2 linked regions of the Oryctolagus cuniculus genome follow. The protein of the gene in region 1 interacts with the protein of each later gene in a biochemical or structural test. Links are inferred from orthologs where the notes say so. Each region holds a gene or a part of one and is shown on either strand. Other genes may lie near its edges.

The links.
Region 2: the proteins of APEX1 (region 1) and MUTYH form a complex in vitro, tested with the Homo sapiens proteins (3 studies listed by BioGRID and IntAct, with this or other methods). The link is inferred for Oryctolagus cuniculus from reciprocal best matches to the Homo sapiens genes APEX1 and MUTYH.

Annotation. Positions count from the first base shown.
Region 1 is NC_091443.1:54,294,322-54,298,678, reverse strand, and holds the start of APEX1 (DNA repair nuclease/redox regulator APEX1), read left to right. Parts: upstream 1-1,387; 5' UTR 1,388-1,524; exon of another isoform or gene 1,525-1,703; intron 1,704-1,850; exon of another isoform or gene 1,851-1,852; 5' UTR 1,853-1,920; coding exon 1,921-1,978; intron 1,979-2,193; coding exon 2,194-2,381; intron 2,382-3,701; coding exon 3,702-3,894; intron 3,895-4,028; coding exon 4,029-4,357. Other genes in the region: OSGEP (tRNA N6-adenosine threonylcarbamoyltransferase), read right to left, coding at 881-995.
Region 2 is NC_091438.1:127,564,273-127,567,728, reverse strand, and holds part of MUTYH (adenine DNA glycosylase), read right to left. Parts: intron 2,028-3,456; 5' UTR 2,022-2,027; coding exon 1,907-2,021; intron 1,064-1,906; coding exon 873-1,063; intron 782-872; coding exon 742-781; intron 632-741; coding exon 558-631; intron 421-557; coding exon 379-420; intron 296-378; coding exon 224-295; intron 148-223; coding exon 34-147; intron 1-33. UniProt on the Homo sapiens protein: Involved in oxidative DNA damage repair. Initiates repair of A*oxoG to C*G by removing the inappropriately paired adenine base from the DNA backbone. Possesses both adenine and 2-OH-A DNA glycosylase activities.

The sequences.
Region 1 (4,357 bases):
TATGTGCAGGTGTTTGAGGGGAGAGTAGGCAAGATACAATAGCTCATAAACCATACGGAACAGAAGCTGTTCAGTGTCTGGTACTTTCATTTAGTCCCCAAGACACAATGTTAAGGCACCACCACTCCCATTTTAAGAGTCACAAAGTACAGTGGGTGTTCTGGCACTTGGGACACCCACATTCCCCATGGGAGTGCCCAGGCTCAAGGCCTAGCTACTCGGCTTCCAATCCAAGTTCCTGCTGATGTGCACCCTGGCAGGGAGCAGATGATGGCCAAGAGTATGAGCCCCTGCAACCCATAAATGGGAGACACGGATGGAGCTATTGGCTCCTGGCTTCTGCCTCACTCAGCCCTGGCTACTGCAGGCATTTGGGAAGTGGACCAGTAGATGAGGTTCTCTCTGGCTGGCTGTCACCCTGCCTTTCCAGTAGATAAAAATAAGCAAAAAGCAAACATTAAAAAGTGAAAAAAAAAAAAGTCAAGAGTATCCCAATACCAGTCAATTCTATCCGGTACCTAAATCCTAATTCCTTCCATCTTCACGTCTCTCCTCCGCATTTTACAACATTTTGAGTCCATCTCTATTACACCACTCATCACGCTGTTACAATTCGTTTATACATTAGACTCCAGGGTAGATTTCTACAAGTTTATGAGGTCTTGGTACGCAAAAAGCATTCAATGAAAGCTCGACAACCCCAGAAGATTCAGGTCCAAGCGCCTGTGGCTCTTCCACTCATCCGCCTTCTGACAATAACATCACATAACCTCAACGAGCTGTAAAATGGGACAAAATTCCCCGGGCCCCATTCACTGGTGTTCAGGGAAATAGGTGATGTGCGCGGGGAAGGTCGTCGCAAATTAAGTCCAGGACTCACCTGTGCCCGGAGGCGTGACATAGGTCCGCCGCGGGTTGGCCAGCACCTTGCCATCCCGCACCACTCCCACGCCAATCTTGTTGGCGCTGCCTTCAAACCCCAGCACCGTCGGCATGGCGCCGCCTGAGAGAGAACGCCAAGGCGCCAAACACCGAGCCGCGACAGCCCTCGGCGGGCGGTACCGGCACGCTGTTGGTAAACAGTAAACCGCGCCCGGACACCAAAACCTGCCGCGGGGGCAGTGCCCGCGCCTGCGCCTGCGCCCGCCGGCGACCCACAAGGCCCCTTCCGGAACCTGTCTCCGGAGCTGCCGGGAGCGCTGAGCCGGCCTCTGCGCCGGCCCTGCCTAGTCCACTCCCCCGCCTCTCTCCTGCGGCCCAGCCCAGTCGCTGCCACTGAGCTTCTGCCCCCTCGCACGGCGCCGGCTCCTTCGGTCAGGGCGGCAGAAGGAGCCGTACATCAGGCACGAACGTGAACAGCCCAAGAACGGAGCCTTGGGACCTTCAGCCCTCCGCGGAGTGAGAGGGGCGTGTCAGAGTCTCCGTCACGTGGTGGCAGACGGCCCAATCACGCGCGGCCTCGGGTCACGTGACCACGCCAGTTACCCACGTGGGCGTCCAGCGTGCTCCCTTCTTTGTGCTCGGGTAAGGAGCCAGGCTGGGGCAGGAGCGGGGCAGGAGCAGGTCAGGTGCAGCGCTGCGTTTTTGCTTGTTGGAGGGGCCTCCGCTAGCTGCCTCACGGGACCTTTAGTAAAGGTCTCCCGTTGGCCGTAGAGCGGATCTCGCGGTGATTCAAACGCTCTATGGATAGATCTAGTTGGGGAGTGAAGCGCCGAAGGCCTGATGCACCGAGGCGGGGACAGGATTCAGAGATTATGTGGTTTGAAAGGCGGGACTTAGTGCGGGGGCCGTCCAGGGCAGGAGTTTTCTCCCCAGCCTTCGCCGGCTGAGTCGTATATCTTTGCATCCTTAGGCATCGCGGTGAAGATACTGCTTCGGTGGTCGACGTGGTTCGGGTGCCGAAGGGCGATCGTTACAGGCATGCCAAAGCGAGGGAAGAAGGGGGCCGCGGCAGAAGACGGGGAGGAGCCCAAGACGGGTGAGAGTGAAGCGGCCTCTCCCTGCCAGTCGCGGTGGGCGGGGTTGGGGGGGCTGCTTCTGAGTCCCTTGGCGAAATGTTAGCTGTGGGCCAACTCATAGCGGGCGCAGGAGAGGAAGTCGCGCTAACCGCAGGGTCGCGGTGCGTTTGCCTTGGACTCTGACTCGATGTTGGAAACCTCCAGCTCTTATCCCTACGTATTATTCTCGTTATAGAGCCAGAGACCAAGAAGGCTAAGACGGCAGCGAAGAAAAATGAAAAAGAGTCAGCAGGAGAGGGCCCCGTGCTGTATGAGGACCCCCCAGACCAGAAAACCTCACCTAGCGGCAAAGCTGCCACACTGAAGATCTGCTCCTGGAACGTGGATGGGCTTCGAGCCTGGATTAAGAAGAAAGGCTTAGATGTGAGTGGAATTCAGATTTCATGCTGAATGGTCTCAGGGCTTCATTAGCGTCTTTTCATTTTAATGCCCAGGATGTAACTTTTTTTTCTCCTTTCTTTTCTTGTGGGAGAAGTACAAGGGGCAAAGGGAAAGCAGTAGAAGATGAACCAAGACTTGCTGGAATGTCCATTCCTTCATTGCCATTGCCAGTCTTACTAATGTATCCTTCCTCCGACTGTTGCAAAAACCTCTGTGCTGGCCAGCCTCCATTTTAGCTCCAGAATACCCTCCATTCCCAAATCTACTGCTTAAAAGTCTTAGCTGCCCTTGTGATGGCTCTAATGTTTCATCCTGAGCAAGCCAGACAGCATAAAGGATTGTAAATCAGGTCTTCTGTTGGGTTCATTCCCACCTTTTCTTTTCTTTTAAAGATTTATCCATTTGTTTGAAAGGCAAAGTTACAGAGAGAGAGAGAGGTCTTCCATACAATGGTTCACTCCCCAATTGACTGCAACAGCCAGAGCTGCGCCCATCTGAAGCCAGGATCTTCTAGGTCTCCCACACCGGTGCAGGGGTCCAAGGACTTGGGCCATCTTCTACTGTTTTCCCAGGCCATAGCAGAGAGCTGGATCAGAAGTGGAGCAGCCGCTGGCCATTGCAGCCATCTGGGGAGTGAACCAGCAGATGGAAGACCTTTCTGTCTATACCTCTCTCTGTAACTCTTTCAAATAAACAAAATAAATCGAGTACCGGCCCTTCAGCAAGACCTTGCGCTTCAACGTGCTCAAGGTCACCAAGGCCGATGGCACCAAGAAGCAGTTCCAGAAGTTCTGAAACCAACGCCCACCTGCTCCCCAGAGAAATAAAGCTATTTTCCCACTCAAAAAAATGGAGCAGCCGGATCTTGAACTGGCGCCCATATGGGATGCCAGTGCTTCAGGCCAGGGTGTTAACCCGCTGTGCCACAGCACTGGTCCCTGTCCCCACCTTATTAACAGTTTCTTCCCCAGAATTGTACTTAAAAACCCTTAACACCAGCCCCTTTGGGTTTTTTCCTCTCTTGGAAGTCCCCCTCCATGCTGTTGTGGCTGGATGTCTTTGACTGTCATAAATCTTGCTTTTTAAGTCTAAAAAACAACCAACAAAATCTTAGCTGGCTATCCGCTACCTATAGAAAAAAACACAATCTCTTAGTGTAGCATTTAAGATTTTTTTTTTACCTCCTTCCATTGTCAGTTACAATAATTGTCCAAGATTTGTGCTGCTACACAGAGCTGCTTATGCACATGTATTGAGTAAAAGTCTCCTGAGCTGATGTTTTTTCCCCTTTTTCACTCCCAGTGGATAAAGGAAGAAGCCCCAGATATTCTGTGCCTCCAGGAGACCAAGTGTTCAGAGAACAAGCTGCCAGCTGAACTTCAGGAGCTGCCTGGATTACCTCACCAGTACTGGTCAGCTCCTTCAGACAAGGAAGGATACAGCGGGGTGGGCCTCCTTTCCCGCCAGTGCCCGCTCAAGGTCTCCTATGGCATTGGTAAGAGCCTGCTGCCCCCAGTGCCTGAGTGCTTCCAGAACTGCTGATACTGTCCTGGCCCACTCCGATTCCTTTCTTCCCTGCCTTCTCTTCGTGCAGTTCTTTATGCTGATTCTGTTGCACTGATTTTGTAGGTGAGGAAGAACACGATCAGGAAGGCCGGGTGATTGTGGCTGAATTTGATGCGTTCGTGCTGGTAACAGCCTACGTGCCTAACGCGGGCCGTGGTCTGGTAAGGTTGGAGTACCGCCAGCGCTGGGACGAAGCCTTCCGAAAGTTCCTGAAGGGCTTGGCTTCCCGCAAGCCTCTTGTGCTGTGTGGGGACCTCAACGTGGCGCATGAAGAAATTGACCTTCGCAACCCCAAAGGGAACAAAAAGAATGCTGGCTTCACTCCACAAGAGCGCCAAGGCTTTGGGGAATTGCTGCAGGCTGTGCCACTGACCGACAGCTTTCGGCACCTC
Region 2 (3,456 bases), on another chromosome or scaffold:
CATGCACAAAGTAGGGGTGGGCTATGGGCTCACCTGGCCAAAGGCGATGGAAGCTATGGCCCCAGCTGTGTAGCGCCCCACACCAGGCAGGAGCCGCTGCAGGGTCTCTGCGGTTCGTGGCACATGGCCCCCAAGTTCCTCTACCACCTGATAGGGGTAGGAAAGCTCAAGGTTACTACAGACTCAAGGTCCCTGGACTCCCAACTCCCCACGATTTCCTCACCTTCCGAGCTCCCTCCTGCAGCCTCCTGCCTCGAGAATAGTAGCCCAGGCCAGCCCAGAGCTGGTTCACCTCCTGTGGGTGGGGCCACAGGTCCACAAGATCACTGGTCAATCCCTCAGCTGTTTCCCTTTCCCCTACCCTAGTGTGGCTCTCACCTCCAGGGAAGCACTGGCCAGGTCCTGCAGTGTTGGCCACTTCTACAGCCCCAAGGCAGGCAAAAAGAGATGAGGTCACGGATGAGAACGGTAGAGGAAGCCTTCCTTACACACACCCCAAAGTATAGGCTCTCATCTGGGGTCTGACTCCTGACCCTCCCCTTCCTCCCATGAGTCACCTGCATCCATCGGGTGTAGTAGTTGATCACCGTGGCAACCTGAGTCTGCTGCAGCATGACCTCTGAGACCCACACTGGGGAAGAGGGGCTGGCATGAGGGCACTGCTGACCTGCTCGCTGCCTGAAGCCCCCAAAGCTGAGACCATGCAGGCAAAGCAGCCCTACTTTCAGGAGATGTACTGACCAGCATACGCCCGCCTGTCTGGGTCCACCTCATCCTCTGCCTGTCAATGCAACCCAGATACGCAGTTAGCATGGAGAGGGTTGGGTGCCAGTCTCTCCCCACCCCTCCATCCCTTTCCCTTCCCTGCCTACCCGTCTCCTCCAGGGTAGGTCCCGCTTCTCACGGTCATACCAGTTCAGCAGGCCCTCACGGAAGGCTGTGACTTCAGCTGAATCTCTGAACAGATGGTACGGGGAGACGGAGGCCTGCGACACCACCTCTTCCTGCTGTCTGGCCGGGCCTGCTGGGGCCTCAGGACACTCAGGGATTCTCCCTGTGCAGGCTGTGAACCAGGGACACAGGACACAGCAGCCTGTGGCAATATGCTCCCACCGAGGGCTTCCCGACCTCTGCTTAAGCCTCGGAGCTGCAGTCACAGTTCTCGTGCTCTATGCAGCCTTGGCCAAGGTTCTGGCCTTAATTTCCAGTGGTATGACCGGCTCATTTGTTTCTGGGCCATAATGGAAACCCAAGAGTGTCAGCCATGTAGAATGTACACTTGCACAGAGTTTTCCTGTTTATAAAACACTCCCAGTCTCACAAACATGTGCTCCCACAAAAGCCGTGGGAGAAAAGAAATGCAGATCACTGCTCCACTTCACTGGTAAGAAAGCAGCCATTCACAGCAATTATCGCAAAGTCACAAAGCAGCGTAGTCAGAACTAGGTCCTCAATTAGTCCCTCAATGCCATGAAAGGCAGAGTGACACACAGAGAGGGAGAGTAAGAGAGAGAGAGAGGGCAAGGGAGAGAAAGAATCCATCTTCCAGTTCACTCCCTAAATGGCTACAATAGCCAGGAATGGGCCAGGCCAAAACCAGTAGCCTGGAACTCCATTCAGGACTCCCACATAGGTGGCAGGGGCCCAGGTATTTGGGCCATCATCCACTGCTTCCCCAGGTGCATTAGCAGGGAGCTGGATCAGGAGTGGAGTAGCTGAAAACTCGCACCAGCACTCGGATATGGAATGCTGGCGTTACAAGCAGTGGCTTAACTCACAGTGCCACAGTGCCATCCCCAGTCTCAATGCCTTGACACATTCCATGCTCCCTTCCTAGCCCAAGGCTCCCCCCTTTCACGGCTGATGAAACCAGCCCCGAGCCTCTGGCTAGGGCCAAATTCCTCACCATCAGGGTCAGAAGGTGCAATTTGGCTGCTACCAAGGGCATGTTGTTTTCTTCGCTTCTTGCTGGCTGCCTGCTTCCTGTGACCACTTCCCACAGCTCCTCGTGGCTTCCTCATGATGGCCTAGATGAGAAAGACCCAATTAGGGGCCAGCCTTGTGGCACAGTGGGTTAATACACTGCCTGCAACCTTGGCATCCCATATGAGCACCAGTTCAAGTCCCAGCTGCTCCACTTCTGATTCAGCATCCTTGCTAATGCACCTGGGAAAGCAGTGGAAGATGCCCCAGGTGCTTGGGTCCCTGCCACCCACATGGGAGACCTGGATGGAGTTCCAGGCTCCTGGCTTTGGCCTGTCCCAGTCCCAGCAGATACAGCTATTTGGGGAATGAACCAGCAGATGGCAGATCTCTCTTTCCCTCTCTGTAACGCTGCCTTTCAAATAAATAAATAAATGTTAAAAAAAAAAAAAAAAAGACCCAGCCAAAGTCGTCAAAAGGCTATTTCAGGGTCATGCAGGGGCGATAGCTACCTTCCTGCCAACACCATTCACATGTCTCGCTTTTCTCATGCACTCAGGAAGCCCATGGGTTTGCTCTTGACTGGCTGTGGCATTGTGGCAACCCGTGAGGCTAACCAAATGGTCTCACAGGAACCAGCATGAGTACAGCCCTAGAGACATGCAAGCTTTAAGGGGCCATGGCTGGGATGGGTCAAGGACCAAGACCTCCTGTTTTGGAGCATTTGTGTCTCACTGATGCTTACTGTGACCGCATGTGGGGAGAGGGGTTGTTTAGATGTGTCTGGGAGCATGTGGGGTGGGTGGGAGAATTCTCTGCTTAGAGATGTAGCATGGCTATGCTAAAACAAACTTTCATAGTCATTTAGTCCAAATCTTCATTTTACAGGCATTAGAAACCAAGGATCAGAGAGAAAAGATTTGCCTATGAGCAGATGGCAAATCAGTAGGGGATACAGATGAGCTATTTTTATACCTAATCTCTTCCTGATCTAGTAAGTCATAGCTGGCTGACCACTAGTAATGAGAAAATGCATCCAGGCGATCTTCACTGCTCCATTCTCTGGTTGCCTTGTCTTAGTGGCTGTAAGTACCTAAACTCAGTGAGCACCCACTCTATGCCAGACCCTGTCAAGTGCTTCACTGGATCTGCCATTCAACCTCTTGATAACTCCATCGCATGGACTATCACCTCTCAGTGGTTAGGGGAGAGCGAGCCTTGTACAGAGGAAGCAACTTTTTCTTTCAAACCCAGAACCTGCTCTGCACTTAAAAAAAAAAAAAAAAAAAAAGATGTATTTATTTATTTATCTATCTATCTGAAAGGCAGAGAGAGAGAGAGAGAGATGTCTTTCATCTGCTGGTTCATTTCCTAAACACGTGCAACAGCCAGAGTTGGGCCAGGGCAAGAGTCCAAATCTCCACCCAGGTCTCCCATGTGGAGGTAGGCATCCCAGTACTTGGGCCATAATGCACAGCCTCCCCGGGCGCATCACCAGGAAGTTGGACTGGAAGCAGAGTAGCAAGGACTTGA